Tribolium castaneum: one gene and its partner. The protein of the gene in region 2 purifies or fractionates together with the protein of the main gene of each other region. This does not show direct contact. Links are inferred from orthologs where the notes say so. Each region holds a gene or a part of one and is shown on either strand. Other genes may lie near its edges. The genes, in order: IleRS and GlyRS.

Region 1 (16,243 bases), on a different chromosome or scaffold from region 2:
TTTGATAGATTGATATGTTGATAATAACATCAAACTAAATATTTTATTGTTATCTTGTAGGAATTCCTGTGCCACAACCGACTTTTAGCTTAATCTTGGGTTGAAAATAATAGGAAACTCTCAGTTTCAGGGATATTATCCATAATTAAGAGTAATTACTAAACAATTATAATTTTGTTATGCATGTTTCTTGCAGACATTGTAATAAATACCACAGTTGTAGTTGTTTTAATTGTTGTTTTTGTACCTAATAATTGTTGGACATAAGTTTCCTGTATATGTATCACAAATAAACAGACTCGCAGTCATGGAGTATAAAAATAGCAGTATTTCATTGCCAAAAGACTGGTGATGTCTATTTAAAGTTTAAAAGCCTGATTGGTTTGGTGGTTTTTGGGCATTGAAGGCGCTGGTTTGTGCAGGCAAGACGTATCGGTCGGTGGGCGTCGTTGGTTGTATGTTTGGAGGTTGTCGTTGCAGCATGAAGAGCTGTGGTAATCGACAATCGTGGATGTCAAAGCTGTTGTTGAAGGCGGTTGTCGGTCGGCGCGGTCGCGGGAGCGGGGCTTGCTCACTTACCTTACCACTTCCAGTATCACATTCTAGTTACCAACCATCGTACCATCGAGCTGATTGGCGACCGTGTGGTGCACCTGTAGAGTCGACGTCGACTGTGCGCGATGTTCGGATGTTGTTGCGCTCTTATCAGTGATTAAATTGTGGCAATCGATCGCGTGATGTCTTCCGAGGTGAAAAACCACCACCCCAAGGCGCGCCTCTGCCACATCAAGAAGTGGGACCACTTCGACGGCTACGGCTTCAACCTGCACGCGGAAAAGGGCAAGCCCGGCCAGTACATCGGCAAGGTGGACGACAACTCGCCCGCTGAAGCGGCCGGCTTGCGGCAAGGCGACCGCATCCTGGAGGTCAACGGCGAGCCCATCGCCAACAAGACGCACAAGCAGGTCGTCGAGCTGATCAAGACGCTCGCCTCCGAGACCAAGCTGCTCGTGGTGGACCCGCACGACGACGGCATCATCCCCACGGAGCCGGACAAAGAGAAGCTCAACGACCAAGTCAGCAAGAAGGAGCACGAGAACGGGACGCTCAACCTGAGCATGACGGCCGCCGAGCTGCGGGCCAAGCTCGCCTCCAAGAAGAAGTTCGACCCCAAGAAGGAGTCCATGGACTTCAAGCAGAAGTTCGACATCGTGCAGAAACTCTAGTGACGAGTGGACGGTTTGCAGCCAGTGCTATTAGGGACACTGAGTGACCTTGGGAAAATAACGCTCAAAATTCTCCTATTGAGTATATACAGGTGTTACATAAATAATAATAGTGACATTAAATGATGCGGAACTGGACACGCAATCAACGAAGCACCTCTCGGTTTTCCCCTTATCTATGCATCGATTCAGTTTGGAAACAACCATTATCGTGATTCTATTATTAATTTTATCGGTTCGCATGAAGTGACACCAAATGCATTAATTCGTCTTTGACTGGAAACCCGTCAATGCCAAATATGCTACGATAACACAAATTACGTTCCAACAATTGATTTCAGGATATAATCAACTAAAACAATACCCGTGAGAACAATTAGTTTAGTTCAATTTTAGGAATATCTTTTACTTTTAGTTACTATGAGATTACGACTTATTAGTTATGTTTTTACCCAGAAATTTTGTAAAATATGTTATATAATCTGTATAAAATAAACTTATATAAGACCAAACATCTTTCTTTCATTATCCTTATGTCTGGGAGATGAACACAACATGCCTTCTTTCTATTTGGGTGAAGGTTGCCCACCATAGCGGAACTCAAATCTTGTGACGACGTTTCTTATGACTCGGCACGTTTCACTTCTCGACCACCACTACCATCACACACCAGCAATGGCATTAAAATAAAAAAAAATCTAAAGCATTTTTCATGGTTCATATTGAATTAATTCAAATTTATCGAACTGGGTTCCAAAATCAATTATTTCGCGAAAAATAAGACGAATTTAGCCCGAGATGCGATTGCGTTTTTCAAGAATTTATGCACGTTGTTGATTTAAAAACACAATTACTTCGAAAAGTTATCGAAATGTTCGCCGAATATGTCGAAGATTATGTTTTTCTGGTCAATTTGCCTGCTTAATTACATTTTTGAGCTAAAAATTTTTTTAAACACGAACGTGAAATCACAAAATGGCGCTTAGAACAAGAAAATACGGAGTGTTTTTATGGACACATCTTTAAAACGGCTAGCCGATTTAGGTCCGTTTTTGACGTGATATGATTATGATTGTCTTCCATTTTTTGGCCCCCGAAATGTTCATAACAGAAAAAAAACAATAACTTGCTCTAAATTTTTATATTGAAATAATGCTCGCAGCAGAAACTTGATTGAACCATAAGCTTCATTTCATCTCGATTATGTAGGGGTCTATCTTCTAGAATAAAAAGATTCTTGCATCTTGAAACTTTCACACAGAAAACTGCAATTTTCTCAGTTTTGCTCATCAAAACTAAAGCTTCCGCATATACGTTTGACTCAACATTCATTGTGGAATTTTTTGCAAAAAAAATAAATTTCTAACTTTATCAAGAACGAAGATATGAGGACGTGACTACACAATTTGCCCATTTTAGATTAAAAAAAATTAAAAACTCATTTTTAAGACAATACCAAATCAAAAAAAACGACCAATTTATTTAACCAGTTTTCAATTGTTCCAACATACTTGAATTAAAAGTACTAAAATTAATTGCTTTCTTATCGTTATTTTTACAAGAGTGCTATTTTGGTTTCCTTCCATTTAATTGAGCCTCCAGGAGTCCGCGGCCCCCAGTTTAAGAATCACTGACGTCTGGTTTCCTATAAAACAATCGCGTAACAATTTTTCTAAATTTTAAAACCTAACAATGCATCTTCCTTTACAATCTATCATTGCAATCACTGCGTGTGAAGAAATCATGCAAGCAGACAATGCACTTCCTGATACGTCCCAGCAATTAAGCAGCTCTAAGTGCAAATAGGGCTCACCTACGCCGGCCCGATTTTTCCCTGACTAATTGTCGCGGAATGTCAACAATAGTAATTTGATTGATTAAACGCGTCGATATTCCGGGAATGCCACTAATGAAGTGGAACTACAAAAAGCACGCATTGCTATTCCACTGATTCAAAAATTTTTTAGAAAACACTGAGTTGAGTCATCGCAAGCTAATTATGTGAGAAAGATTCCAGCAAATAAATAATAAGAAGAGCGATGAATATTACACAAGGGAACAAAAGTGTAACTTAACTGTTACAACAATGGACTCTTTCAAAATTTATTGAAAAATTCTATTTTAATTAACTGCACTCCAGTCTTTGATTACACGACGCGGTAAGCAGATGGAGGATAGCAATAAAGCTTGTCCCGTTACGAACTTCGCATTTTGCCAATGGTAAACGATTTTATCTTATTCTTGAGCTAATATTTTGCTAAGTTCAGGCGGATGCATGAAAATCAAGTCAAAAATGCTTCACTTGTAAACAACAACCGAAGAAAACCGTTAGTTACTTGAAAAAATATTTTTATCAGGCTATAATTACCCGTGCACTCGACTTTAAACTCTTCTATTTTTACGATTGAGAAAAATAGAAATGCCACACTGTGGATAAATATGGTTTTCGAAAATGACTTTGTCTTTGTATTTGTCTTTTTTGTGATATGACACAATAATTTCCCTAATTGTTGCAAAAATATCGCTTGACCCTCGAACAGCTATAATTTCGCTATCGGACATGTTTATAGACTTTGATATTTTCTGAGTTAAAATTTATACCCACGTTTATTCAAGGTAAGTCGATCAAAAATAACGCAGACATATTGGAAAATTGCGATTTTTGAAAAGTTATTTATCTGAGCAGTTAACATATTGGTGTTAACCGCGTAACCATCAGATCTCTAACGTTTCTGTGTCACTTGTGTGAGGTGTTAGCCGGTGGCAGTAAAATCACAAGATAACCCTCCACTGAATTACATTTATTTAGGCTAATGTGCGGTCGAAGGACGCGGCAAACGACGAATCTGCTGGTTTTTTGTTTTGCAATGTTTGAAACAATAATGCGAATGTTTTGCGCCGCACAGGTGCAGGCATAAATCTGCATGGTAATTCTTCGGGCCGAAGAATGCGAAGATGCGTTAAAAATCAATTCGATAATAAACACTCGACGAAGGCAAACAGGTCGTGAAATAAGATAAACCTTGAGCATATTAACATAAGGTGAAAATAATGATGAAAGTTGTGAGCAAAGGTCTCAGTATTGCAGTCCAGCATGTTGAGTGACACAGACGTTGAAGACCACTATAGTCCGTCTGTGCGGCTGATCACTCTTGAGAGAAATGGCTCCAATTGCGGATTCCACCTAACCAGGAGCAAATGGGACCCCTATCCGTGGGTCAACTCTGTCGAGGATGGCACAGCTGCCGACTCCGCGGGCGTCAAGCCCGGGGACTGCCTGCTGGAAGTCAACGGCGAGGATGTCGTGGGCCAGAGGATCAGTGAAGTGGCCGAAATAGTGAAATCAAAGCCCAATCAAGTTTCACTTTTGTTGTGGAATGCCGGTGTCGATCCTCAGTGTACGCCCGAGGTAAAACAAACATCTCACTTTTTATCAATTCTTCGCAGACCCGTCCGACTTTCTTTCGGTCTCTGCGGTTTTACCCGCAATTAGAAATTTTTGCATGCACTTTGCGTCCCAATTTTAGTGACAGAATCCACCGTTCATTAGAATTCTAGCGAGGGGCTTCTACGTGAAGCTAATTGTGTCAGCGCTCAGATCATTTCTATTTACATAATTATTTCATTGTTTCGCTATTACCAGCTAATAAAAATTCCATGTTAGTGCTAAACATTCTCACATTTAAACACATCCGTTACTTATCTTATCAAGTATCCTCCCCGTCAAACGATATATTGAATCAGCTTACCGCATATCGTGAAAATAATAGTTCTCTTGTGAGTTCGCTCCATACTTTGAAATTTCCAGTTACTTGGCAATTTTTGGGACATGACAAAAAAACTTGCAGTACCTAACTGCAGTTACAGTAGAACTCAAATAACTAATTTTGAAATTGCTTTTTAAAAATCGGGTATTTCCTTAACATTTATTAGTTGAATTTGGTTTTTCCATTGCGGAGTCGTCAAGAAATTTTTGTTAATTTTGTTTGGCGAAAAATTCGGCGTGTAATTTTGAGCTCAAATCCAAATTTAGGCAGTTTGCTGCGGACCCATGCCAACGAACCTCCAGCGCTTGTCTGCATGCATGTCTACGATTCTTGCGTTTTTGGAGTGTCCAGTCTGCCTAGACACAATCCCTCCACCCACCTACCAGTGCGAAAACGGCCACCTGATTTGCATACGCTGTAGGGCGAAGTCCGAGAGGTGCCCCATCTGTCGCTTAAGATTCAGCAGAGGTAGATCATTACTAGCAGACCAGGTGCGTTATGACTTATGACCTCACCCAGGCTTTTATATTCAACTGAGTTAGGTCTACAATGCGTTGGTTGACGCCTTCAACCTGCGGGAAGAACCAGACGACAGTCGGACCGCGAAAATGCATCAGATTTTCAAAATGAAAACCAAGAAAAACGTGCCTGATATCAAAGTGACCCCGTCCCACACAACGAAATTTTTGGCCCGACTTGTCGGAAAAGCGAGCTCGGTTGATAATCTGTCCGGAAGCGCAAATGATAGTGACTTTAATCTGAGGACAAAGTCGCTCTCAAACCAGGAAATTTTCGACGCGGGGAGTCCTTTGGTGTCACGGACGAACTCCGTGAACAGGATGAGCCGAAATGAGAAAAACCAAAATTATCTCAACCCAAATTTTCGCTCAGTGTCGTGTCACGGCTCCTTTGAGTCGTTGCACAACGCCGGTGAAGACATCGCTTTTTATTGCCCATTCGCGCCGGGATGTACGTCCCTAATTAAAGGTTCGCATTTTCGTAATAATAAGCAGTTAGCTAAGTTTATGTCCACAGGAAAAAAAGTAATCGAGCACTTCCAGTTAAGCCACGACGGACCGTTAGTACACTATTTCAAATCGCAAATAACAATCGAGTTTAGCAAAATTTTGGAAGAGCAAGACTTGTGTTACGTTATCCAACTTCAGCAAAACACGTTTTTCCTCAAAATTGAGAACAGTTCCGAAAATGTACTTCTCTGGACTTGGGTTCTAGAAAACGGAAATGTTGCAAAAGAATTCGACATGCACGTCAAGGTGTTAATTGGGGAAACACACGACGTTATAATAAGTGTTAGAAATAACGTGTTTTCACTCAACTGCACTTCATACCAAGAGATAAAGGGGCTAAAAAAAGGTTTACTTGTTAATACTCGGGCCATAAATGGCGCGATAAATGATGTTATTTTTGATATAGCGATTTTAAAAAGTGACGTATGAGCTGTGATATTGTTTCTAATTTATAAATATTTATTTGGAGATATTGTTTGTTTGAATTCGTTAATAATAAAACGGTTTTTTCGACGCTGTTTTGCTTTTCTCTCCTTAAAACGCTCAATATTCCATCTATTAATCGAGATATGAACACTAGATCAGTAGACCAAATAACGGAGTTATGGTCTATTACAGTTACACCTATCATTTAGAAAAAATACGACGCTTGCTCATGGAAGGGACATGGGCGGATTTTTATATGCACCAGTTTTTATAACATGGGATTAGATGGGTGGAACAAAATTCGTTTCATGGGACATTCACGTAACAGCCACGTATTTCACAACCATTTACATATCACGCAGCTAATATTTATTGAATAATCTGCGTTAAAATATAAAAGTTATAATTAGAAAGGATCGGAATATTTAAAAGGCTCAAATTAGAGTGTGCGTTCTTTTGTAAAACCCCGCATTTTCAAGTTTATTCAAACGAATGAAGATAATAAACAAAGTAAAAGTTTATTTTATGTAAATTCTATTCCACTACATATTTATGCAAATCCAGGCCGAATTAATTAAATAACAAAATGTGAAATATGAACAAGCGGGACTGTACCACTTCGGGTGCGCACGTAACGCACTGTGAGTGGCACGAGACCATTCGAACAACTCGCCTCTTGCCTAGCTTACAATTTTTAATAATTGTTTTTAAACGAATCAATAAAATTTATTGAATTAATTTTTTGAAACATTCAAGTCAATGGCACAATAGCAAGTTTTGTTTTGTCACTTATTATTATAAAATTCCTGAAATATTTAAAATATTTCTCCTGGTGTTTTCGTTTTCCCCCAAGCCAGTTGGCAGTGAATTTCATCATCCGAAAAATTGAGGTTGTGTCGTTGCACGAGCATAATATGTGATATAATTTATTGAATTAGTGAAATAGCTCGCACCATGCCTATTCAAGAAATTCCCCGTGTGCCGGAAACCATAAATTTCCCATCCGAGGAAGAAAAAATCCTGAAATATTGGACGGAAATCGACGTGTTCCAAACATGCTTGAAACAGTCGAAGGGAAAGCCACGGTAACTTGGCATGGTTTCGAGTGAACGTGCCTTAGTTATTTTGTAGGTTTTCGTTCTATGACGGCCCGCCGTTTGCGACCGGGTTGCCCCATTATGGGCACATTCTGGCGGGGACCATCAAAGACGTGGTCACGCGTTATGCCCACCAGCAGGGCTTCCACGTGGAGAGGAGGTTCGGCTGGGACTGCCATGGGCTACCCGTGGAGTACGAGATTGACAAGACTTTTGATATTAAGGGCCCGGATGATGTAATGAAGATGGGCATTGACAAATACAACGCCGAGTGCCGCAAGATTGTCATGCGGTACGCCGACGAGTGGGAGAGGATCATTGGGCGCATTGGACGCTGGATTGGTAATCATTTGGACGAAAAGGCCAAACGTTTGATTGATAATTCCAGATTTTAAAAACGACTACAAGACGCTTTACCCGACTTTCATGGAGTCGGTTTGGTGGGTTTTCAAGCAATTGTACTTAAAGGGATTAGTTTATCAGGGCAATAAAGTAATGCCGTACTCGACGACGTGTAATACCCCCTTATCGAACTTCGAGTCGGGTCAGAATTACAAGGATGTTGTTGATCCCGCCGTCACCGTGAGCCTCCCGATCATCGGTCATAAGGACAATGCTGCGCTTTTAGTTTGGACAACGACTCCTTGGACCCTCCCTAGTAACCTAGCGGCGTGCGTAAACCCATCGCTTGAATACGTACTGTTTGAACAAATCAGCACCACCAAGCGCTACATCATGCTAGAGACTCGCATTGAAACAATTTTCCCAGCTGGGGATTATAAAATAATCCGGAAATTCCCCGGAAGCGAATTGAAGGGGCTGCGCTACGAACCAATTTTCCCCTACTTCGCCCACTTGAAAGACAAAGCTTTCCGGGTCTTGACAGACGACTACGTCACGTCTGAGTCGGGTACGGGTGTCGTGCACCAGGCACCGTACTTCGGGGAAGACGATTTCCGCGTCTGTCTCAACGCTGGGGTTATAACCAAGGACCAGGAACCCATCTGTCCCGTTGACGCCAGCGGCCGGTTCGTCAAACCTGTGGTGGAGTTCGAAGGGCTTTATGTCAAAGACGCCGACAAGAAAATCATCGCGGCTTTGAAAACCAACGGCCGGCTCGTGCACCAAACTCAAGTAATGTCCAAAGCGTTTGGAAGCACTAGCTAATTGTTGTTTCAGATCAAGCACAGTTACCCCTTCTGTTGGCGTTCCGACACCCCCTTGATCTACAAAGCGGTGCCGTCGTGGTTCGTCCGCGTGGAACACATGACCGAGGAGCTGCAAAAGGCCTGTGCGGACACCTACTGGGTGCCCGATTTCGTCAAAGACAAGCGTTTCGGTAACTGGCTGCGCGACGCCCGGGACTGGGCTATCAGTCGCAACCGGTATTTCGGCACCCCGATACCGATCTGGGCGTCGCCAAGCGGCAATGAGTTCGTCTGCGTTGGCAGTATCGCCGAACTCGAGCAACTAACGGGTCAGAAAATCACCGATTTGCATCGGGAAAGCATCGATCATCTTGAAATTCCCTCGAAAATTCCTGGAAATCCCCCGTTGAGACGCGTTCCTGAAGTTTTTGATTGTTGGTTCGAGTCGGGCTCTATGCCCTACGCCCAGAAACACTACCCGTTTGAGTTTAGTAAAGAGTTTGATGACTATTTCCCGGCGGATTTTATCGCCGAAGGGATCGACCAGACCAGGGGCTGGTTTTATACGCTTTTAGTCATCTCGACGGCTTTGTTCGGGAAAGCGCCGTACAAGAATTTGATCGCGAACGGGCTTGTGTTGGCCAGCGATGGGCAAAAGATGTCGAAGCGGAAAAAGAATTATCCGGACCCGTTGGAAATCGTTTCGAAGTATGGGGCGGACGCTTTGAGGCTTTATTTGATTAACTCGCCAGTGGTGCGTGCCGAAAACTTGCGGTTTAAGGAGGAAGGGGTTAGGGATATTCTTAAAGATGTGTTCCTGCCGTGGTACAATGCGTTCCGTTTCTTGTTACAAAATATTGAGAGTTTTGTACAAGACAACAATCAAGCGTTCTACTACACTGAAAATAGTGTCGCGCCTGAGAATATCATGGACAAGTGGATTCTTTCGTTCACTCAGTCGCTCCTAGAGTACGTCCGGAAGGAGATGCAACTTTACCACTTGTACAACGTTATTCCCAGGCTGACCAAGTTTATTGACTACTTAACCAATTGGTACGTGCGGATGAACCGGAAACGTCTCAAGGGTGAGGGCGGGTTCGACGATTGTAAAACAGCCCTACTGACGCTGTTCGAGGTTCTCCTAAACATTGTGAAAATGATGGCACCGTTCTCACCCTTCTTGGCCGAGACCATGTACCAATATTTGAAGAAGTTGATGAAGACTTCGGCCGATAGTGTTCACTATTTGATGTTACCGCAGCCGAATCATGCGTTGATCAACAAAGATATTGAGCGAGCCGTTGCCAGAATGCAAAGTGTGATAGAATTGGGGCGAGTCTTGCGCGACCGAAAAACAATACCGATCAAGTACCCGTTGCCGGAAGTTATAATTGTCCATCAGGACCCTCAGTACATTTCTGATATCCTCTCGTTGAAGGAATACATCCATCTCGAGTTAAACGTGCGTGCAATCAACACAACGACTGATAAAAGCAAATACGGGATAACGCTGAGGGCGGAGCCCGATTATAAAGTCCTAGGGCAGCGGCTTAAGCAAGAACTGAAGGCTGTGACTGCAGCAATACAGGCGCTGACCGATGTTGAGATAAATGAAATGGTTAAAGCCGGGTTCCGGGTCGTGGCGGGCCAACGTATCGAAATTTCCGAAGTTAGGCTCATCTTCAAAGCTGAGAGTATTAATACAAGTCAGTATGAAGTCAACAGCGACAACGACGTTTTGATTCTCTTGGACATAACGCCGGACAGTTCAATGCAAGATGAAGGCACGGCGAGGGAGATAATAAATCGTATCCAAAAGTTGCGCAAGAAGGCACATCTGGTGCCAACAGACCAAGTTTCAGTATTTTACAAAACGACTGGTGAACTAGATCGCGTCGCTAAATCCTATTGCGATTTCGTAGAGAATACAATCAAAGCAACGTTCAAGCCAATCGAGCAGCAGCAAAATTCCGACTTGGTGATAATTGAGGAAGTGCAACAACTGAAAAACTGTAATCTACAACTGGTCCTGACCCGGTTTTCCGATATTGTAATCCCGGCTAGTAAATGGGTTAATATCCAGCTTGTAGGCCTCGAGTCCAGATACTGTAACCAATCTCCTAAAGCTTTAGCTTTGCTTGAAGTGGCTAATAAGCCGGTCAGTTTAGATAATTTGCATTCGTCGGTTTTCCGACTCTTTGGCGTGGAACATTACAATCTAGTGAAAAGCAACGGCAAGGAAGTAACCCAAGAGGAATTACCTAACTTGTCGGGACAAACAATTTTTGTAATTCCGACAAATAAAGATGTTAAATTGCCCGAAATGAGCAGAGTACCTTTCTGCAAAGTTTTTAATTTTGTTGCACAAAATACCAGTGGCACGTTGATCTTGGAAAACCCCGCAGGGAACGAAACTTTAAATGAAAAAGACTTCAAGGAAATCATAAACCAGTGGATTAAATTGGCTTAAGGAGAGTTTAGTTTCTTTTTGAATATTGTTAAGTTTTTGGGTGTTTATATTGTATTTTTCCGTTCCGAAGTCAATAAAAAATTGTTTGATAATGTACTTTGTTTTATTGGTATTAATTAACAAATTAAACTGAAAGTGTGCTGGTCTCACGTATGTTTCCGTATGTGGAGAGAATTGTTTACTATTTTTGCGTCTATTAATGACGGGTTTTAAAATAAATAAACAGTGAAGTAAAAATAGCTACGTTAAAACCTCACAAGAAGTAAAACGTAACTGTAATGTTTAAAGACAATTTTCGGCAAATGGAAATATTTGCTTTAATAATAATTATCATTTGAAGTTCAAGATTAGAGGTTTTTATTGTAACAATTATAGTGCTCAGTTAATATTTTTTTATAAACTTTCTAATTGTGTTTATTTTATCGTTTATTTATGGTTTTGGATGTTTGATTTGATGAAATCGGGATTATAGTGGTTCTGATAAATTTGAAAATGGTGCTTGTTGCTAGTGATATTTGACGTTTAAAATTTAGTGAAAAATGTCAATGTTGGTAGCAACGCGTGTGGACAGTTTGGCATTTTGTGATGTGAGATTTTTGTTAAAAGTTTTTATTATGGTCTAAATGTTGAAATTCTAACAATCATACATGTCATTAGAAATATACGGTAGCAGAAGATTAAAATCTTCCATTTTCAGTGTTTGTGCAATGGTAAGAAAGACGAGAACACCTTGTATGCGTCTCTTCAAATTTGGTTAAGAGATGAAAATAAAAAATGATGGAATGCAAATAAAAACATTAGAACATATGTGATATGAAAGATAATTTAGTGGTATTCCAATAAACGGAATGGTTGAAAATAAATGTTAGTGGTCGAATAAAGGACTTTGCGCGGTTTTGGACATGATACAAGTGCAGTGTTAGTGTGTGTACAGCATGAAAGGAAGGGGTATGTGATAAAAATACGAAATGATCAAAGAAAAGCACGAGAAAGGGTCGGATAGCGTGAAGGAGGAGCCCGGCAGTTCCGATAAAGAAGCCTCGACGACGGATGTCCGCATAAAAAAGGAAGATGAAGCAGCAGGCAGCAACTGTGCTGTTAAGAAGGAACCCGGCCGTCCTGTCACCAAAAACGGCGGTATCATCGGCTCCACAAACACAGGCTCTCTACAGAACGCCTCTGAACGAAAAACCGAAGGTGAGGAGGCAACTTCAGTCGCAGACTCTGCAAATCTGACACTAAAAACTGAAGAGTGTATTGACAATGATCTGCCTGGAGATGCATTCTCGTTGGGGCTGTCCGGCCCACCTCCACATGCGACGCCCCCCGACGGAATCCAACCTCTCGCGAGCAACGTCATTAACAAACAACCGGGAAATATGGAAGTTCAGTACATGCAACAGCAGAGTCAGATTTTCGTGTTTTCGACCGTTCTAGCGAACACCGGTGCCGACGAGGTGTTGCAGGGCCGGTACGCATCGATCATTGCCTACCACTGTGCCCAACCGGGCACCAAAAAGTACCTGGAGAAGAACCCTCTCAAAGTGAACCAGTTCAACCGGCAGAACCACGCGCAATGGCTCAATGCAGCCATGATGAAGAACAAAGGCTGCACCCGCAGCCCTGGTCTAGGCCCCAAAACTCAGCCTTCCATCGATAATTTCCTCGGCCCCGACGGTCTAGATGAAATCGGCCTCGGCGACGGCGATCTTCCCTGGGATCAGAAGAACAACCATCATCTCGAAGGACTCGAAGGCGTCAGCAACGGCCTCCCTGACGTCGGCCCCGACATGGACGCTTGCAGTCCTTCCCTCTCAAACGTTCAGCCCTCGCTGCAGGGCGTTAAAGTGCCTGATGAGAACCTCACCCCCCAGCAACGGCAGCACCGCGAAGAACAACTAGCAACAATTCGAAAGATGCAGCAGATGCTCTTCCCCGAGAACCAAGCGATGGACGGGCAACCGCCCCCGGGAAACGCCAGTGCCATAGACATGCCCCACAACATGATGCCGACGGGCCCCGCCCAACACCCACCCAACGCCCAGCTGATGTCGAACCAATTAGAATGGCTGAAGATGCAGCAGCCCAAACCCGTGCCCATCGGCCCCGTAAGTTCCGGCGCCCCGCGGGGCGTGCCCACCTCCGGGCCCCGCCTACAGGGCCCGCCCCCACCTTACCACCAAACCCCGCGTTCGGCCAGCGTGCCGATTGCGCTGCAAAGCCCAAGCCCCGCCTCGCCCAATAACCCCACCTCTAATTTATCCCTTCCCTCGCCGAGGGCGTCTTCCGCCCTCAACTCTCCCGCCGACCCCAACCGCCAATTCGGCCTCGGCAGACATGTCAGCACCGGTCAAAGCCCCACGTCGCAGGACTCTCCCTCTGCCCTTAGACACAACCACAGCAATCCTGGCACGCCCGTTTCGTCACATCTGTCTCCCAGTGTAAATAGCAGTAACACCGAACCCACATCAACCCATCAGTCTTCAGGTTTGTTCGGTCATTATCCACAAATAAACAATATTCTTACATTTGCTATTCTTTAGTTGATGGAATGTTTGGGCGCACCCTCCAATCAATGGCACAACAAAAACAAATGAACACTTCGACGACTTCATGTTCTACAACCCCAACCACTGGGGCTAAGGAGCCTAATCTCATGCCTGTTCCATCTCCGCAACAAATACAATACCTCAACACGTTCGAAGGACAGGAACTAATCATACAAAAACAACCAAATACAAGTCTTAAAGAGAGAAATATTATATCTCCACCGTAAGAAATGCATTCATTATTTATTATTTCATTGAAATAAAAAGTAAACAAGCAAAAAAACTAATTGATAACAAAACAAATAGTTATTTCATCACTGCTATAATTGGTTTAGGCTAAATAAATTAGCTTAAACTGTTTTGATTTGTACACACTAAGCTGGAATACTGTTCTTCATTGAAATATTATTTATTTAAACGCTTGTTTTGCAGCATTCTGCCTACAACGCTTGATAGTGGATTCCCAGGCAATACAAATGATCTTCCTCACACTAGATTATCAGGACCTAATACTCCAACATCAATAGATGTAGGGCCTAGGTTTCCCCCAACACCCGGTGTATCGGCTGAAGGTTGCCGATTTCAAATACCAAGTCCACATACTCCTTCAACTTCGTCTACAGGTATGCAAATCAAAAAAACGAGGAAATGATGTAGAATCTTGTATTACAAAAGCTTTATTTACGTTCATGTAAGACTAATTATCACCTTTATGTTTTCTTAACGAGAGTCATTTAAAAAAATTACGTTTGCATAATAAATTGCTTAAAGTAATTGCAGTGTTTCCAATTTCTAGTTATTTTTGTTTTTATCAGTCGTAACGTTGAAAAATTGAACGAAAGTCACCCCAGTGACGAGTTAATTCGTTTTTTTTGCATCTTTTGTGTATAGGTGATAAATCTCAGCGACTGACTGGTCCGGGACCAACCTCTGCGCCCGGCCTGAGCCCGCAGACAGCCCCCGGTCCGACATCCGACCCATTGAAAGGCGACTTATTTCCTACTCCGAGTCCTCACATGATGGATGTTCCTCGTTTTCCGGGTCCGAACGCTTCTCCAGGTGCTAAAATGGGAGGAGGTTTCGTGAACGTCTCACCATCGGGCAAACCCAGTCCGTTGGAACTTCCGAATTATTGCGCCCGTGGTGACAATGTACCGCTAAATCCGAACTGCACGAGCACAATGACTGGCAATCCGAAAGTCTCGCATTTCGATCCGATCTCATCCCTGGCGCAGATGAGTCAACAGTTGACGAACAGCGTGGCGAGCTCGCTAAACGGCCAAGGCAATCAAGGGCCGGGAGGAATGATGAATTTCGGTTCACCCTCGATGCAGATGATGGACATGGGCGGGTGCCACAACATGCCCGACATGGACCAAGGCCCCATGATGGGCATGGCCATGCAGGGACCCCCGCACGGGTTCCATCCGAACTCGCCCATGGCCCCCATTCGCTCTCTCTCGCCAAAACTGCCAGGTGCCTTCCCCAACCATTTGCCTATGCCGAGGATGATGGGTCGACCACCGGGGCCCAATCCGTACAACGGAGCCAACGTACAAGTCAAACCTAACGCCCCCAACACCATTCAGTACCTCCCGGCGAAGCCCCAAGTGGGCAACGCGCCGGGACCCCGGGGGCCCCCTAGTCTCGATTTCCTGCAACGATTCGCGAACCCCCTTTGCAACATGGACTCAAAAATGCCAACGCAAAACCTACAGTACTTCCCCAACAACGGCCCCATGCAAGGCCCCGGTGGACCGATGCCGCCTCACATGGGCCATATGGACGGCCCCATGCAGCCCGACCCCATGATGGGCGGCCCGATGGGCAACGGCGCCGGGCCCATGATGGGTGGCAACATGGGCATGCCGAGCGGAATGCTTCCTATGATGAGAGGCCCCATGAGGCCACCCGGAATGATGCGGATGCCGCAGATGGGCTTCAACGGGCCGGCACCTGGAGCTCCCGAGATGTTCAACCCAGGCCCCCCCAACATGGGCAATCCGAATGCCCAGATGTTCGTCAGCGGACCGAAAGGCAGCCCCATGGGCATGGGGGCACCGGACGCCACCCAGCCGCTACCACCGTCGATGGGCCAGAACAACACTTTCAAAAATTCGCCGTTTGTGGGTCCGACCACCTCAGATCCGAACTACGCTCAGCAGTACCATAACTTCCAGCAGCAGTTGTACGCGACCGGGACAAGGAGCCAAATGGGGGGCCAAGCGATGGGGCCCGGACCTGGACCTCCACACACTCAACAGCCGCCATACTTTAATCCTAAATAGCAATTGTGGTGCTGAGTGTGTGTGTAACAGAGTATTTTGGTTTATTTTTGATATTACTAATGAGTAATCTGGCAATAATAACAATGTGAGGTTAATTTTGTACATTTTCGTGTGTACTCATCGAATTCAAGTGCAGTTAAGGGTTGGCATCCACTGTTCATGTACAAAGCTGCCTGCCCCCAAGGGCTCTATTCACCTGAATACTTACGCTATTCTGGATTTGTATATTTGCCATAAACTAGAA
Region 2 (16,364 bases):
TAATAATTAATAAAGTCCTTGTTGCATGTGAAATGCCTCAGCAAACGTTCTCTCTACCTTCAAACGGTGAGAACGATGTTAAATCGCCTTTTTACCTATTTGCCATAAAACAGATTTCCTTCGATCCTGAATAGGTAATACACAATGATTTTAACGATAGAAAGTATAAAATTATTACGCATGCACCTATCGTTCAAAATTTTTTAGTAAAATTAGTAATTGAGTAAATAATAATATTATCAGTTTGCACAAGGGAAATTTCTCTATTTTAAGGACAAGCTTTGTGACCATAAAATCTACAAATCCGACACGCACTATTTTAAAACAGTCCAGTGCATTTTATTACCTAGCTATCGTAAAGTACGCTCAGAAAATGAAATACACAACTAAACGGAACTTGAAAAAAAATCAAATTTGAGACTCACCCAATTGTTGTCCTTAAAAACCGACATTCCGTTTCTTAATTGCTTCACCATAGATAAAGCATTTTAATCCACAAATTTGCACAAACTTTCTCACTTTGAAAAAATCAAATTCTCAGACAAGGCCAACCTGTTGGTTGGATTCGCACCAAAACAAAATATTAGCAAAGTCCATACGACCGCACAAAATTAATCAGAGCAGAATAATCGAGCTTATATGGTCGATTTCTCAAATTACGCCCAATTTACTTTAATAAGAAGCGGCCGTTAGTGACCCTTGCCTCTCCAGTTAACCTATGTTGAAAATTTACGTTATGACGCGCATTGTTAATCAACAATCTAACAACAAACGTGAAAAAGCACTGGCAGTGTCGCTCTTTCGACGATTTGTAACTACCTGCCGCGAAATGCGGACTTTCTAATTGGTAGGAAACGACCACGTGGTACTCGACATCGTTTCACGTTGTTGGGAGAAGCGCCTTTTTGTCGCTAAAAACCAAAAGGGGGGGCCTTTGCCCCCGTGTCTTTAAACAATTCGGTTTGGGCGCAATTTTGCAAAAATGGGATTGTTCGAAATTGGCGCGCTCCAGGCCGGTCGGGCGAATCTAGTGACTTTGGCGTGTCAGCCTGACGCAACCGTTACAACTTCACGCAGTTTCCCGGTCTGGACTGGAGTGTTTGGACGTATTATTTTATTTAATTTAAATTAATACAGCCCGAAATGACTCAACAAACGTAAGTTTTGCTTTCTTGTACTAAAAAGCGTTGAAATTGGACCGTGATTGACTCAAATTTCGGTTATTTGTCTCGAATTTTTTCCCAACAACGGCCATGTTGTGGCATTGTGTATAATCGATTCTGGAACATTCGAAAATAATCGTAATTATGATTGCGATTTACGATGAATGCTTTAAACGCGGTTGAATATTTACATAAAAGCACGTTTTTGTGATTGGCGACGTAACGGTTGGTGTGCTAAAATGGCGTCTCTAACCTCACTTTTAGGTTACCTCCCCCAGTGATGTGGGCCCAAAGAACTGGCGTAGTTTTTTTAACGATAAATTTAGAGGACTGTAAAGACCCCGATGTTAAGTACGAGTGGTTGCGCTGTGAGGAACGAGTGGTGACGGGTTCTGTTGCAGATTCACGAAAGACTCTGTATATTTCAAAGGCATTGGCGGCGTTGAGAAGAAAACTTACGAAGTCACAATCCCCCTGTATAAAGAAATAGACCCGGAAAAGAGCAAAAGCTTCAATAGGGGCCGGTGTATTGAAATAATCTTAGTTAAGGCAAGTTCAGACGATTCCTATTGGCCTGCGCTGACTTCTGATAAAAAGAAGCACCATTGGCTAAAATGTGACTTCAACAAGTGGCAGGACGAGGACGATTCGGGTGACGAGGGCGTGGGGGGCATGGGCGGAATGGGCGGCGGCGACTTCGAGGAGATGATGCGGCAGATGGGAGGCCTGGGGGCCGGCGGGGACAAGCCCTCCTTTGATGATTTAGAAGATGGTGATGGTGCTGATTCAGACGATGAACCTATTCCCGATCTTGAATAAGCACTCGAATTACTTCTTTCCTTTTGTATCTTTTCATTTGTTAAGTTAACAATAAAATGTTTAGTGGTATCTTCGGATTTTATTTCTTTGTTCAGTGTTTAAATGTGCTAAAGTTTTCCTTCCAACCGTTCATCATGTGTATTATCAAGTATTAAGTGAATAAAAAACATTTGTAGGTACCAAGGTGTTTAATTTCATTCAAGCTTATAATTATAATAAATTAAAACTGGACAATTCCCTCAAACTCCTTTGCTTTCCTGTTGCTCGAACTTCGGGTATTTGCCCTCAATATCGGCCCATGATTTTTTACTGTACGACAAATCGTGCAAAACTGTCGCAATATCGTCCAGCTACAAACAATAGATGGTGAAACCACTGCTTTAATTTCGTCCGAGAGGGAGCCACGTTACAGTTACCATGGTTATGTTAATTTGGTAACTATGGTAACAATACATATGGCGCCATAACTACAGACATATAAAGGTTAGGATACGAAACAACGTACAAATAAAACGTTCGCGAACTCGATAGTTCCATCAATATCGCCAGAGGGAGCAGTTGTTCCACAAACAAAAATGGTATTTATATAACGATTAGCACAAGGCAAACTAAAAAAATACAGACAGATAGAGCATTAAATTATCATTAGTAAGAAATGAAAATAATGCAAAAATTTTGACGTAAACAATAGTTAATAAAATTACAAACTTAAACCAATTTGCACTCCGCCCCATATTTTTCAAAACGCTGTGAATACAGTTATTGATAAAAGAAGAGTTTTAAGAAGAAAGTTGTAGAGAATTAAATTTCCTATAAAAAAGTACTGCAGGTTCCGGATTTTGTATCTCGTTTCGCCTCCTAACTTATAGTATAGTCCTCGGTAACCAAAACTTACCGGAATTCTGACTTGCGCCATAGAATCGCGCTCTCTCAAAGTCACACTGTGTGGTTCTTTGAGTGTATCAAAGTCAATTGTGATACCATATGGTATAGCGATTTCATCAGTTCTGGCATATCTGCGTCCTATAGAACCAGAACTGTCGTCTATTTTGTGTGAAACGTCGACTTTTGTTAGGGCAGTAGCTGAAACAAATTCGTAATAATTGCTATTATTGCATCAAATGACTTACATAGTTGTTTAACAAACGGTGCAAATTCCGCATTAGAGCTTAGGGGAAGTACACTACACTTTAACGGTGCTATTGAAGCGGGCAGTGAAAGATAAGTCCGCTGTTCGTCATTCTCACGCATTTTGAAATTGTGTTCGAAGATTGCGTACGTTATTCGTCCCACACCTGTTCACAATAAATAAAAAAATTCTTTTCGTTATGAATTCCTTACCAAACGATGGTTCAATAACACTAGGAATGATTTCTTCCACATGGAGCGTCTTTTGGTAACGTTTTACAGTTACCATTTCTTTCGTCAGAGTGAACTTTTTATCATCAATTGTTAATTCGTGTGATCTAAAAGCAAAAATCTTCTATAATAGGCTACATCCTAAAATGAAAAAAAATATAGGGTGTTTAATTTTTAAAAACAATTTTGTATTGTAGCTAATATCTTAAACACCCGGTATACTTGAAGATGATTTTATTTGAGTCAGGGGGTCACTAAAATTTAAATATATTTATTTTTTAAGTTATTTACTTAAAAATTAAATGACTGCTTAATGTCATATTAATTTTCTCCTCATCAAAGTTTTTAAACCTTTAAAAATCATTTCACATTGTGTTTTGTATGAAACACCATGTTACACACAAATAAAAAATCTTGTCATGAGATTGAATTTTTAATTTAAAGTTTAAGTCATCGATATGTGTTAAACCAATTATTTTTTTCAAATGCCTATCTCTAATAGAATTATTGCCAAACTGAACAGAGACCACATCATTTACGATTCTATTGAACGGACAAGGACAGACGACTCATTACAACTCACCCATTACTCTCTAAATCCTTTTCAAGAGCTTCAACTTCCGAAACTTGTAATTGTGTGAGCGCATCCGTGATGATTTTCGCATCCTTCTTGAAAGTTTTTCCTAAAACCCCCTTATTAGGGGTCGCCTCAACAACATCGACAATTTTCGGCTCAGCCAATTTTTTTTCCGCCGCTAATCGAACTCCTGTAGCTTGAGTGTGTTGTGTTAAATCAAAGGCAGACCGATCGGCACAACCCACACACTCTATCCAACCCTACAAAAAAATTGACTCACGAAATGAATACATTTTTTTTCTCCTCCTGTAACTTACATAGCTTGTGAGACACTCGGCATCCCAGCAATCTTGCGCATAATGGGCCATTTCGTTGGCCATATGCTGCCTAAATCGCAACCGTTTCTCATCAACGCCACATTTAACCAAAAATTTGTGGATACGTGCGATAAAATACCCCAAAGTCGCGTTAGCCACCAATCCCTAAAACGGAACCACCTTTTTTTCAGGCATTTTGCCAAAAATTTTACCAAACCTTATCCACAGCTGAGCCAATTGTCAGTTTTTCCGCCGGTTTTCCGTCCATTTGGTTACAAGCGGAGTACAATAATAGTTCAGTGTCCCGAATGCTATCAAATTTCGGGTGATTTTTATCAGCAGGGTCGCAAAAATGCTCGATTTCGGCCATTGTAAATTCACGGACGCGAATCAAACCAGAACGGGGGGAAATTTCGTTGCGAAAAGCGTTTCCTTTATAAAAACATTACATTTTGCTTTGAATCAAATTTGTGATCAAAATGATCCGTGATTTTGAAATTACGTCGGCAATACCGGACACAGTTATGATTTTCATCTGTTGATTTGGGAAATTACCACATTTGAAATAATAATAATAATAATAATAATAATAATAATCATAATAATAATAGCGGGGGTAGAAACCCTTAATCTGTGCCACTTGCGGTGCTTGTAAGTTTGAATTAGTTCCTTTACAAAAAATGTACTCGTTTACAACATATTAGCTGTTTCAAAACTATAAAAACGCTAACGTCGCATTTTACCGAATTATTTTTTTAAATAAGATTTGTAAAATAGTAAAATAGTTATTAATAAATATTAGCTCTTACTGAAACTATAAAATACATTAGCTATTATTTATTATTTTTTTGAAGTGCATGAATAATTTACAAAAAGTAGAGGTTTCATTTAATTTTTTTAAGTTATTTAACTTTTAACAAACTTAATAATTTTTTTAAGTTCTTAATTGCAATGCCTGGTACCGATTTAAGTTTGAACTTTCTCCTTTAAAGTGGGGGGAAGTCCTAGGTACTTTTCAAGGAACTGTCTATGTGTAATGTTTTTTTAAGTGTGTTTTTGTCAGAAAAACCTAATTATTTCAAATACTAAGCATTAACACAAATTTTGGTTAAAATCTAATTTTCTGAGAAAATGCGACGTTGGCGTTTTTATAGTTTTGAAACAGCTTATAACTATAGATAATACACAGGGATCATTATTGCATTGATCAAGTGCATTGAAATCGACTAAAATAACAATTTTTGATTAAAAAGAGCAAAAAGCGGGCAAATTACAAAAAGTAAAATAAAAAACTCGTATTATAACTAACGCTAACGCCACTCGTTTTTAATATACCTATTAAAGCATCAAAATGGCAGAATTTACAAAAAAAAATATTTCGAAAGCGGTAACACAGGGTGGCCCAGCTCAGCTTCCGTCTTCTGTAGTTCAGTTATAAGTAAAGTTGGACTTTCGATATTTTGTAGACGTTATTTACACCCAAGGACGTATTTCAGGAAAACATTTTGTGAATATACATACAGTGTCCCAAAAAAAGGATGACGTCAACGTATTTTTTTTATTCGACTGTATCATTAGATAGAATTTTTCGGCATGAAAATCTGGACCAAAACCCTTCTTTTTCGGACGTGGCCGAGAAATATTTTTCGGCCGTTGAAGTATTTAGTTTCAAATCTTTAATATTATGCCCTTTCATACACTTCTTTTGATTTTTGCGGAAGCAACTCTATCGAAACTTGATTTGTGGCATCTCGCACTTTAGGGACAGAGAACATTAACTCGTCTTCTCACATGTCCGTAAAGTTTTTTCAAATCGGTTCAGAGATTACTTTAAAGAAATAAAAACCAAAAAATCGGTTGTACACTTTTCGTTAAAAAATTAATAAAAAACGAGGAATGTTATTTGATGACATTATTACTAGGTACGTGTTGAACAAGGTCTAAAAGATTTATTAATTAGATTTGATTGCTCTTAATTACTACAGGGGGTTTACAATTAACTTCCAAACTTTTTAAACTTTAGAGCCTTTTATTTTGCTTATTTCAAATGTCAACAACCCCTATTTATTTTTATACCATTCGATGGGGAATTAGAAAATGAACATTTTTTCTTATTAGACCCTAACGTAAATCTTAACACATTCCGAGTTATGTGATAAAAACTTGTTTTGTCAAGTATTTTAATGACAAATTTAATGAATAAAAGTCGAGGATATATGTAGTTTCGCTCGGTTTAGTTTATTTTTAAATAAAAAATCACAAAGATAAATTAAAAGTCATTATTTTTAGCTTTTTTAACCCTTAGAAACTCTTTTTTTCTGGGAGATTTTGCTAAAACTCTGAAAAATCCTACAATTACTATTGACTATAAAAGTGTGACGTTTAAATCTAACAACAATCGTCTGCCGTTTAAATAAAGTTAGTATGAAAATGAATATTTAAATGTGTTGAATCTATATCAGTTTTTTATTATAACGGATAGATTTTTTTTAATGTTTGTTCTAATTTCTCAGAATTCAATATTTCTTGTGTTTCGTTTTCGCATAAAATTTACGCTACTTTAACTCATTTGAGTCATGTATGTACTTAAGTATGTATGTACACACAAAAACATTTTTAGGTGTTGGGTAGATTAAAAAGCTGAAAACCCACCAGGAAATCATTCAAGAGTTTTTCCCATAAATGTCTGAAATATGGGACAATCATTCATTTTCTACCACACACTTAGGTTTCTTTACCGAAGAAAGGTGTCATCAAAGTATATTACACTTAGATGAGAGACGATACAACAAGAAATAGTCTGAAGATCGCCAGAAACAATGATCATAGCAGATTTTTGTTGGTTAAAAGTTCAATTGAAAATATGCAAAGGAATAAACTATAATTTATTTTATTAATATGCAATGAGTTAGATATTTTGAAATGATTTTTAGTATTTTGGAACGACGTATAACATTACTTGTAAATTATCATCCCAATCATTAAGTTCTCAGTTATGCCTTTATAAAAAGCTAATATAAAAAAGTTTATGATACAAAATTTATGTTATTAAATTTAAATTCAGGAGCATTCAATTTATAACAGTTACGCAGAATAATAAAAGAAGGAGGAAAAAAAAGTATTTTTGCAGACCAGAATATTTACTGTTGCCAACGTAATTTCAATCACGGGTTACTTTGATGAAAAAATTGGTACTTTATTAACTGAAAAACTACAAAACTCACCGATTTGAGCGGCAGCAAAGGGCAAACGCCCTTGGTTGAACTCCAAAAGTCGTTTGAAGTTAACAAAAATGCCTTGTGCCGTCTCTGGACGCAAAAACCTTAAAAAACAAATATTGTAAAGTGCCCTGTGACTTCGAAATTAAGTTGGCAACACTGAATAATTCAATGGTGCTCACTTAATCACAAGCCACTATCAATTTTGTACCCTTTGATAAGTCCCGAAGGTCCGATTTGCGTTCCAAACATTAGATTAAACTCAATGGGTTCTGTGAGATCATTCCCCGTCAGAGGGCTCTTCATGTTGTATTTCTGCATCACAGCAGCCATTTCCGCTTTCGTCATTCCATCCAACTTTACAACAATGTCCTGGCAATCTGACTTGACATCATCTGTGGTCCTCTTATCAGCTGAGATTTTCTCCAAATGGGCTTTTATCAAATGATCCAACCTAAAACACTCGCCAGTCCCCACGTCTTTAACCATAAGATCCGCAAATCTGTCAACATGTCCGGACGCTCTAAAAATAAAAAATAATTTACGTTTTTCCCCCAAAACCACCACGTACTTTAAAACGGGCTCAGGAGTGAGAATTGAACAATCAACCTCCAACATTTGCTCCTCCAATATGAAAAACTGTCTCCAGGCTTGCAGTAAGTTGGCCTTGAACGCGCACCCCATTGGCCCAAAATCAAACTGACCGGTGATTCCCCCATAAATCGCAAACGACTGGTCGTAAAAAAACCGCCTTTTCAACAAATCCTCCATTTTAGCCCTGTCAAAAGTGGCAACTTGTGGGGCCAAACTCAGCTCTTTCTCCTCTAGGATTTTTTTTCGAGCGTTCAGCTCCGTAACGGCCTTTTTCACGTCCAAAACGGGGGCCCCTTCCGCCTTCAATTTGCGAACCAAATCGCCCTAAAATTTGCGATAAATTAACTGACAAAGAAAAGGCTGAAACCGACCTGTTCCTTGACACTGGCCCTCAAGGGGGCCAAAATTTCCTCCATCTGGGGGTCCGCCATCGAGTCAAAATACAACTGCAATTTTACGTTTCGGTGCTTCTTGTTAATGCCCCACTTTTTCGACGAGACAACTGAACTGATGCAAAGTGGTCGAGCGGTGACACAATTTCTAACCAACAAAGTGGACAAGACTGACAAGTGGCTAAATTTGGCGAAACACTGGGAAATATGGGAGAATTTCATTGACTGGATTGGTAGAAAACTGCCACGAGGCAGACTTTTTTTAATTAGTGCAAAAGTGAAAGGAATGAGCACATGTGCCGGCTGGGAATTTCGGTTTATTTGGTGGGTGATTGGTACTGTTCACGAGCGGGGTTTTCAAAATAACTCAAAAACACTCAATTTTGAGACAATTTATTAAATTAATCGGGCCACAGTCACGCAACACATCGCCCAAAAGTAAAAAGACACATAATTGGCGTCATTTGGATAGCAAATAAAGTTCGTAAACGGCGTTAAACTGATTTTATCGCCTAGATATAGCACAGGAGTGTACCGGTAATAAAGCGATAACAGTATTAACAACAAGGCAAAGACCAACTTGACACCGTACGTGAAACCCAACTGTACGACAAAACTGTTGGTTGGTTTGTCCCCTTTTATCTGTTCTAGTTCTCGATCAATCACATTGATGCGTCTTTGAAGCTTTGAGTATTTTGCAAACTCGTCCACCATACTGAGAGATGACTGCTCATTTTTTAACGCAAGTTTCTGGAGCTGCAGCTCCCTTTCTTTCCCTGTTTGCTTATTCAGCCACTTAAAAACCTGCAAATGGAAATTAATTTAAACGACCACATGGGCCACAGAACACTTACGGGTTTTTCGATTATTGTTGAATGGACACTTAAAAAACTAACAATCGTCGAAATTAACAAAACAGGAATGTTGAAGTAACACTCAGATTGTGACTCCATGACTTGACAATTGGTTTAAACGGAGGTGGAAAAGTAGTGTTAAGGTTTACATTTTACATTAATTAAACAATTATTAGTGTTTTTTAAATGTTTACAAGGAAATAAAAACCTGACATGAAAAACTAGTGTTCTGGTGTCTTTAGTTCTACGCCACTGGCACCGCTGGTGACATTTTTGTGATTGTGTTGGTGGTCCTACAATTTGAATTTCAACCAAGTGAATTAAAAGAGAATTTCTCAATAAAATTAAATATTAAACCGAGATTTAATTTTAAAGTTTCGTCTGGTGTAGTAATTTTAAACATAATAACTCTTGCAGTTAATGGAATATTCAGAAATAGGAAATTTAAATGCGACTTAATTCACAGTTTTTTGTGGTGTGCTAATAATCTTTATTTCTAAACCAGAAAAGATTAAGCAAAGAGGAAAACACTCTGACTAAAGACTATTCTACGGAGGACTATAACTTAGGAGACAAGATACAAAATCGCAGGATTTTCTGAACCCAAAAAAAATAGTATAGCGGAATATAAATGAGGGCGCTCCGAGCGTTATATCACATCGTACTTAGAAAAAAAATGCGGAAATGTTGAGCTTTACATTCCCAACACATTGAGAAAAACTGATGACTAAAATTTTCGGGAGAAACATGAGAAAAAAATTATTTAAAATTTAAAGTTTGAGCTTATATCCCATTTCATTTCATTGTAGAATTTTGCAACAACGCATTTGCATTTTTTGGAGTTTCTGGTGCGTTTTCTTGGCTCAAAATTTGTCGCTGGAATTTAGCTTAACACAGAGTTCTTTTCTTATTCAGAAACTCCCAATTTGTGCAAAATTGTGCCAAAAAAATCTATTATGAAATAAAATAGGATATAGTCCCGTGTTTTTAAAACGCAGCGAATCCGGTTAAAGATACAAGATCACACAGTCGTTAGAAAGTCGCTTTGTTTTCTGTTTGAATTAATTGAGTAGAACTGAAAGATGTGATCTTTTTGTAGTTTCTTCTTCTGAAATTATGGCGTGAAGACCATTTCATTTCCGCCTACAGATAAATAATTAACTTTTTGAGTTTGAAAACAATCGGAGAATAAATATTACGGAGAACTATAATATAGGAGACGAGACGAGATTTTTTGAACCCAAAAAATTAGTACAGTAGAGTAAAAATGAGGTCGCTTTGAGCGTTATACCATCTCGACCCAAATTGTTTTAAATTAATTTAAACTCAACCAATTCACTAATTACTTGGAAAAAATGCAGAAATGTTGAGCTTTGCACTCTTAACAGACTGAGAAAAACTGACGACTAAAATTTTCATAAGAAACATAAGACAAAATTATTTAAAATTTAAATTTTATGGTTCGTCTCGTATTTTTTGAAACGCTGCGAATCCGGTTTAAGATACAAGAAAAATCTAAGGAAGAAAGTTGGAGAGAATTAAATTTTCTTTAAAAATGTCATATAGATCATATCTCTATCTTCAACGGTTTAGGCCCTAGAGACTTTCAAACGACAAATTCCTTTAATTTTATCAGTAGTGGAGTAACAATATACCTAAACTGTTGAAAATAGAAATATGGTATCAGTGACTTGTTTATAAGAAATTTAAAGAATTATCGCTTAGAAATATTGATTTGCGTCCCATCTTATATTTTTGCGAACGCTGCGAATATAGTTGAAGATACAAAAAAAGTGTAAGAGAATTAAATTTTCCAAAAAAAAAATCCGAGTTTTTTTTATTTAATTTTATTGTCAGGCAAACCACTTTAAACAGGTTTCATTTGAGTAAATAAACGTCACTTTTTGTGGAATTGCGTAGAGTTGGCAATGCTGATGGTTATTATGAAATGGCACAATTGAGTTAACTTTTGGAGCCAATTTTTGAACGTTTTCAATTTGTCGTCACTTGACGGAGCAACAAAAGTAAATAAATACAAAAGCTTCCACAGTGATAATATTAGATATCGATTTGTCGGTGTAAATAAGTTATTAGCAAACATTTTAGTATTATTTTGGCTAATAGATGTAGCCGCAATAAAATAAATAGCTAGAGCAAAAGCCAATATTGTGCAACCGTTAAGTAATAAATGATTTAATCGTCGTTTCCGGGCAATCAACTGTCCTATCCTCATTTTCATTGTTGTTATTGAAAGAAATTGCCTGGCAACAATACAATTCAACCCTAATGTCGATCACGATATAAACGTTTTTAAAACTTGAGACACAGTTTATTGTCAATGTATCGCACGATTGATCACACTACACCCACAAATAGGACGTCCAAATCATTGTAAAGATTAAGATTAGTAGCTTTCAAACTACTGAAGCACCAATCTATAATTTAATTTAGTTGGATCAAGTGTGTAAATTTTTAATAATTTAATGAAAAGTGCGAGTTTGATCGATATCGCAATCCCCAGGTGATAATTTTCACACACCCTGATAGCACTTACCTGTTATCACAATAATTAAAACAGTCGCTTTTTGGTACTGCACACGGAAAGATAACCAACAGGTAATTGTCTCAATTTACAAGAATATTTTTTATCGGTTTTATGCGCAATTAAATTGTTATCAAACAACCGCAACGCCCACATCTTAGCTTTTTGATAATTTCCAAAACAGTTACTTTCCTATAAAATTGCGAAAACTCCCTTGATTTATTGCAGAAATACCACACGTTGCGCTAGAGTAAGTATGAATCATCTTTGCCTTGAAACGTTTCAATGAAATTATTTAGTTTAACGAAAACTGTCTTAATTGTAAGTCGTAGCATCATCTTAACCAAAAATTCCGCCGTTTGTTTTAGTATGTTTCGGCCGAAGAGCGCAACATCTCGCCAAGAGTCCGAAATGGCATCGAAGAGCCTCCGGGAGTTGCAAGCTCTGGGTGCCGGGGGCGATCCAGTCCACCGTTTGCGATTACTGTGTTTGTCGCGAGGAGCGAACGGGATTTTGGGAATGGGTCGCATGTTCCGGAGAATGGACGACGATGGGAGCAAGCAGCTGAATCAGGATGAGTTTGTCCGGGGACTCCGGGAAACCGGACTGGAGTTGACGGATGAAGAGGCGTTGGATCTTTTTAAAAAGTTTGACGACGATAACAGCGGGAGTATTAACATGACTGAGTTTCTAGTGCACTTGAGGGTGAGTTTTTTTGTGATATCAACTGATTGTGGTGAAAGCACGCGACAACAAATCTAAATAAGGTCGAAAATAATTCAATAGATTGGTCGTAAATAATTTTCAAGATAGGGGGAATCAATAACGGGATATATCGTCAACGTTCATGAATAATGGTACACTGGACGAAATACTTATGTATTGATTATTACATTATTTGTGTATAAAAAGTGAGAAAAACACGTTATAATCTGATTATAACATTAATGATTTTTATATGAAACATGTTTTTTATTTTTACTTTTAACAAAGTATGTAATAAAAAAGGGCGATAAAAAACATTTTCAAAATGTGTGGGTTCAAAAGAATTTTCGTTTCGACTGTTTGTAACACTGATATAGATTATTATAGGATTTGATTGCTTTGGGCAACCGGAAGTTCCACCAGTTGCACCGTTTTTACGTGAAATTCAGGTTTGCCAACTCACTTCTTGATCACCTCTGCTATTACAATATTAAAATTATGCAAATGGCTCTTTTATAAATTACAAGTTAGAATAAATAATAAGAGCTTTTATTTATTCTAATGCCAAGAAAGTTACAAAAAATGTTTTTTTCTTTACTTCTTACTTTGTAAATAATATTTTTATTTCCAACCCTGGTTTCGACCCAATTTTAAAAATGCATTTTCAGGGGGCTAGAGAGGGGTACCCATAAAAATTCTTTGTAAAATTTGTGGTCTTTACCTTTTTAGAAAAGGCATTAACCATTTCAGATTGCTATTTTTATTAAATTTTACTCGTTTAGTTAAGGCTGAACTGTACTATACTGAGAACAAGTAGAACTGGGGTAACACATTTTGAAAAAAAAACGGATTAAATTGCTTAGGTAAACAAAAAATTGCAAGAAAATTAAATTTTCCAAGGATGCAAACTGTACGCCGAAGAAAAGAAACAAAACATTTTGACTACAGACACCTTATGTTCATCTTAATCTTAAAGTTGTGCTAGAATAAATACAAAATTTACGTTTTTACAAAATTTTGGATCAAGTTGTATTTGCTTTAAAAATAATGAATTTGGACTTTAAAAATTCATTTATCAGAAAATATTTTGCAGGAACCCTACAATATTTTAGAATACTTTTTTATAAACAATTAAATTTCTATTTTCCCAAATACAGCAACAATAACTTTAGGAATTTTACTTTCATTATCATTTTCTTACACGCCATTTTAACGTTTTGTGACAAACTTAAAAAAAATTAATAAATATTTTTTTGTTGCTTTATTTATTGGATTTTTTTTATTATATCAGTTATACTCACTTTTACCCCAAATGTCTATTACTTCTTAATTTGAAAAAATATAGCGGGTCTTTATAAACAGATAACAAACCTGCACACAGGCGAAAACACCATTTGTGTAAGAAAAAACAACTTTTTGATGGCCACTTTATTTTTCTTTATTAAAATGTCATCACTATATTTTTGTATTTATATTTTTTTCATTTTTTGTATTTTGACCTAATTATGTTACTGTATTTTAAACATTAAACTATTGAGTTTTAAAAAGTCGGTTACAAATACTATTATTATGTGATAATTTTAATTTATAATTAGAGTAGGCTTTACTCTTTATAATATGTTTTTAAATTATATGAATAAACCTCTGATAATGATAATTAATCAAGCAGAAGTATCTACTAATAACATACCTAATCGTTAATTATAATACATTTTCCCCCCTGTTTGCACTAGTTTATCAATCACAAGGAAAAAACGCCTACTCTTATTATAAACTCAAATGATCGCATGATCTTTAAAACGAAATAAAAATTGGCTTGTGATGAAACGACATCCCATTGTAAAAAAACATGTTACCTATAATTTTTTTCATTAGAAATATAACTTGAACGTAATTAAAAAATTAAAAACCATTTCGTTTCTGTAGAAGTAAAAATTTTACGTGAAACGGCGAGCGTAAAACTCATCATGTTAAATTATTTTGCAATTATTGTCAATAAATCATACATGTTGTTACGGTCTTCAACTTTGTAACATTTTTAAAAATCGATTAATGTAGGTGTACACATAATAGTGACAATAAAAGCACTGTAAATAACAATTTTCTAAGTGCAAAGTAAAAAAGAGCTTAATAGACCCTTAAATAAAAAGCGTTTACCGTAAACATTATTTTTGTAGTTACCTATAGCTTTTAGATAATTATTTTGTGTTATCTTCAGAGGGTGGAAACAAGCATTTTCTTCACTGCAATATTTTTTACTTTTCAGTAACATCTTGGAATATTTATTATTATTAGATACTGCTTCCGTTAGATTAGACGCGACATTTTTTTACGAAAAATGACATTTATTAAATTTGATAATTCTTACTACACTAGTAAACCACTCACCAACCCATTTGGAAATTATGAAAAATATTTTTTTTATTTTACTGAATTATTTGTTACAAAAAATATTGTACCTAACTTATTTGGAATGTAATTTCCTACTCCCTTCGCTCATGCTGCAAACAATCAATTGCTCGTAATTACGTTACTTAGAGGTAAAATCTATTTCTGATTAATAAAATGTATTAATTATTTCACGTTGCACTATAATTTTTTCACTCGAGTGATAATTAAAAAACTAAAAGTATTTCAATTATTTGGGGAAGGTCGAAATTATAATTTTAAAATATCTCTTATTTTGTAAGGACTGTGGATGCATGCAAACGTGGTCTTCAACTTTGAAACATTCAAAAAAATCGATCGTTAAATTAATATTGATTGAAAAAGTTTCATAAATCATTTCATACGAAGTTAAAACATGAAACACCTTACTTTTCCAAATTATTCGCCAATGATTTGTCATTAAATCATCAATACACAAAGCTCCAAGACTCTTAAATTCAGTAAATAAGCGACCACATTTCGCGTAAACACTACTTAGATCAAGGACTTGTTGCTTGTGACCTAGTTTCTGAATATTTTATTCCAGCCCCCAATGTCTGAGTCACGCAAGAAAGTCGTTGAAGAAGCGTTCAAGAAAATGGACAAAACGGGAGACGGAGTGATCACAATAGACGATTTGAAAAATGTTTACAACGTCAAAGCCCATCCTCGATACATTTCAGGCGAAGAAACTGAGGAAAATATTCTGAAACGATTTCTAGCAAATTTTGAACAGGACGCCACCAAAGACGGACAGGTTGGTTAATGAAGATTGAACAAAAGTTTTAATTAATTTCTGTAGGTAACCCACGAAGAATTTTTTAATTATTATTCGGCCATCAGTGCCTCGATCGACAATGACGGCTATTTCGACCTAATGATGAGACAGGCTTACAAACTGTAATAATGAACCCAGTGCTTTGCAATTTTTGAATTTTTAAATTCACTATTTATAACTCACTGAATACGAAGTTTTATTACTCGAATGTTTCCTGTTGTATTCCTATATTGTAACCGATCTATAGATTTAAATACATGTATTTCGACTATCATGGGATTTTTTTTCAATTCTTAAGAAAACAAATCGAAAAATAAAAAACTGTTTATTTTTGAAAAATACTGTTTTACAAACAAGAAAATAAATGAGTACTTTCACAACCCAGTAATGCACTCGTACCTAATATACCGGGTCATACCACATGATTGTTTGATTGGCAATAACCAATGCTGCCAACTCAAATTTTCCCAAAACTACTAGTGGACGTGTAGAGATTCCACGAATAGATGACCAGTCTTTAATTTATTTTGGAATTTTCGTGTTGCAATTTCCATGTAAAATAACAGCGGGGTGTTGACACTTGAAATAAAAATCAAAAACATCACGGTAGCCATGCTCT

Evidence for each region.
Region 1: the proteins of GlyRS (region 2) and IleRS fractionate together in Homo sapiens (co-fractionation; 3 studies listed by BioGRID). This does not show direct contact. The link is inferred for Tribolium castaneum from reciprocal best matches to the Homo sapiens genes GARS1 and IARS1.

The regions. Positions count from the first base shown.
Region 1 is NC_087403.1:5,643,692-5,659,934, forward strand, and holds IleRS (isoleucine--tRNA ligase, cytoplasmic), read left to right. Parts: upstream 1-7,283; 5' UTR 7,284-7,401; coding exon 7,402-7,532; intron 7,533-7,578; coding exon 7,579-7,886; intron 7,887-7,932; coding exon 7,933-8,678; intron 8,679-8,723; coding exon 8,724-11,162; 3' UTR 11,163-11,254; downstream 11,255-16,243. Other genes in the region: Na(+)/H(+) exchange regulatory cofactor NHE-RF2, read left to right, coding at 738-1,226; uncharacterized protein LOC662426, read left to right, coding at 4,321-4,635, 5,260-5,484, 5,536-5,980, 6,029-6,450; lgs (protein BCL9 homolog), read left to right, coding at 12,131-13,649, 13,706-13,934, 14,144-14,334, 14,603-15,999. UniProt on the Homo sapiens protein: Catalyzes the specific attachment of an amino acid to its cognate tRNA in a 2 step reaction: the amino acid (AA) is first activated by ATP to form AA-AMP and then transferred to the acceptor end of the tRNA.
Region 2 is NC_087398.1:11,176,933-11,193,296, reverse strand, and holds GlyRS (glycine--tRNA ligase), read right to left. Parts: upstream 8,775-16,364; 5' UTR 8,662-8,774; coding exon 8,419-8,661; intron 8,372-8,418; coding exon 8,025-8,371; intron 7,977-8,024; coding exon 7,665-7,976; intron 7,558-7,664; coding exon 7,460-7,557; intron 4,668-7,459; coding exon 4,453-4,667; intron 4,401-4,452; coding exon 4,236-4,400; intron 4,179-4,235; coding exon 3,925-4,178; intron 3,449-3,924; coding exon 3,324-3,448; intron 3,278-3,323; coding exon 3,113-3,277; intron 3,066-3,112; coding exon 2,878-3,065; intron 2,333-2,877; coding exon 2,222-2,332; 3' UTR 2,152-2,221; downstream 1-2,151. Other genes in the region: p23 (prostaglandin E synthase 3), read left to right, coding at 1,428-1,514, 1,565-1,982; guided entry of tail-anchored proteins factor 1, read right to left, coding at 8,836-9,243, 9,294-9,392; calcyphosin-like protein, read left to right, coding at 12,205-12,540, 15,515-15,724, 15,770-15,871; Xxylt (xyloside xylosyltransferase 1), read right to left, coding at 16,268-16,364. UniProt on the Homo sapiens protein: Catalyzes the ATP-dependent ligation of glycine to the 3'-end of its cognate tRNA, via the formation of an aminoacyl-adenylate intermediate (Gly-AMP).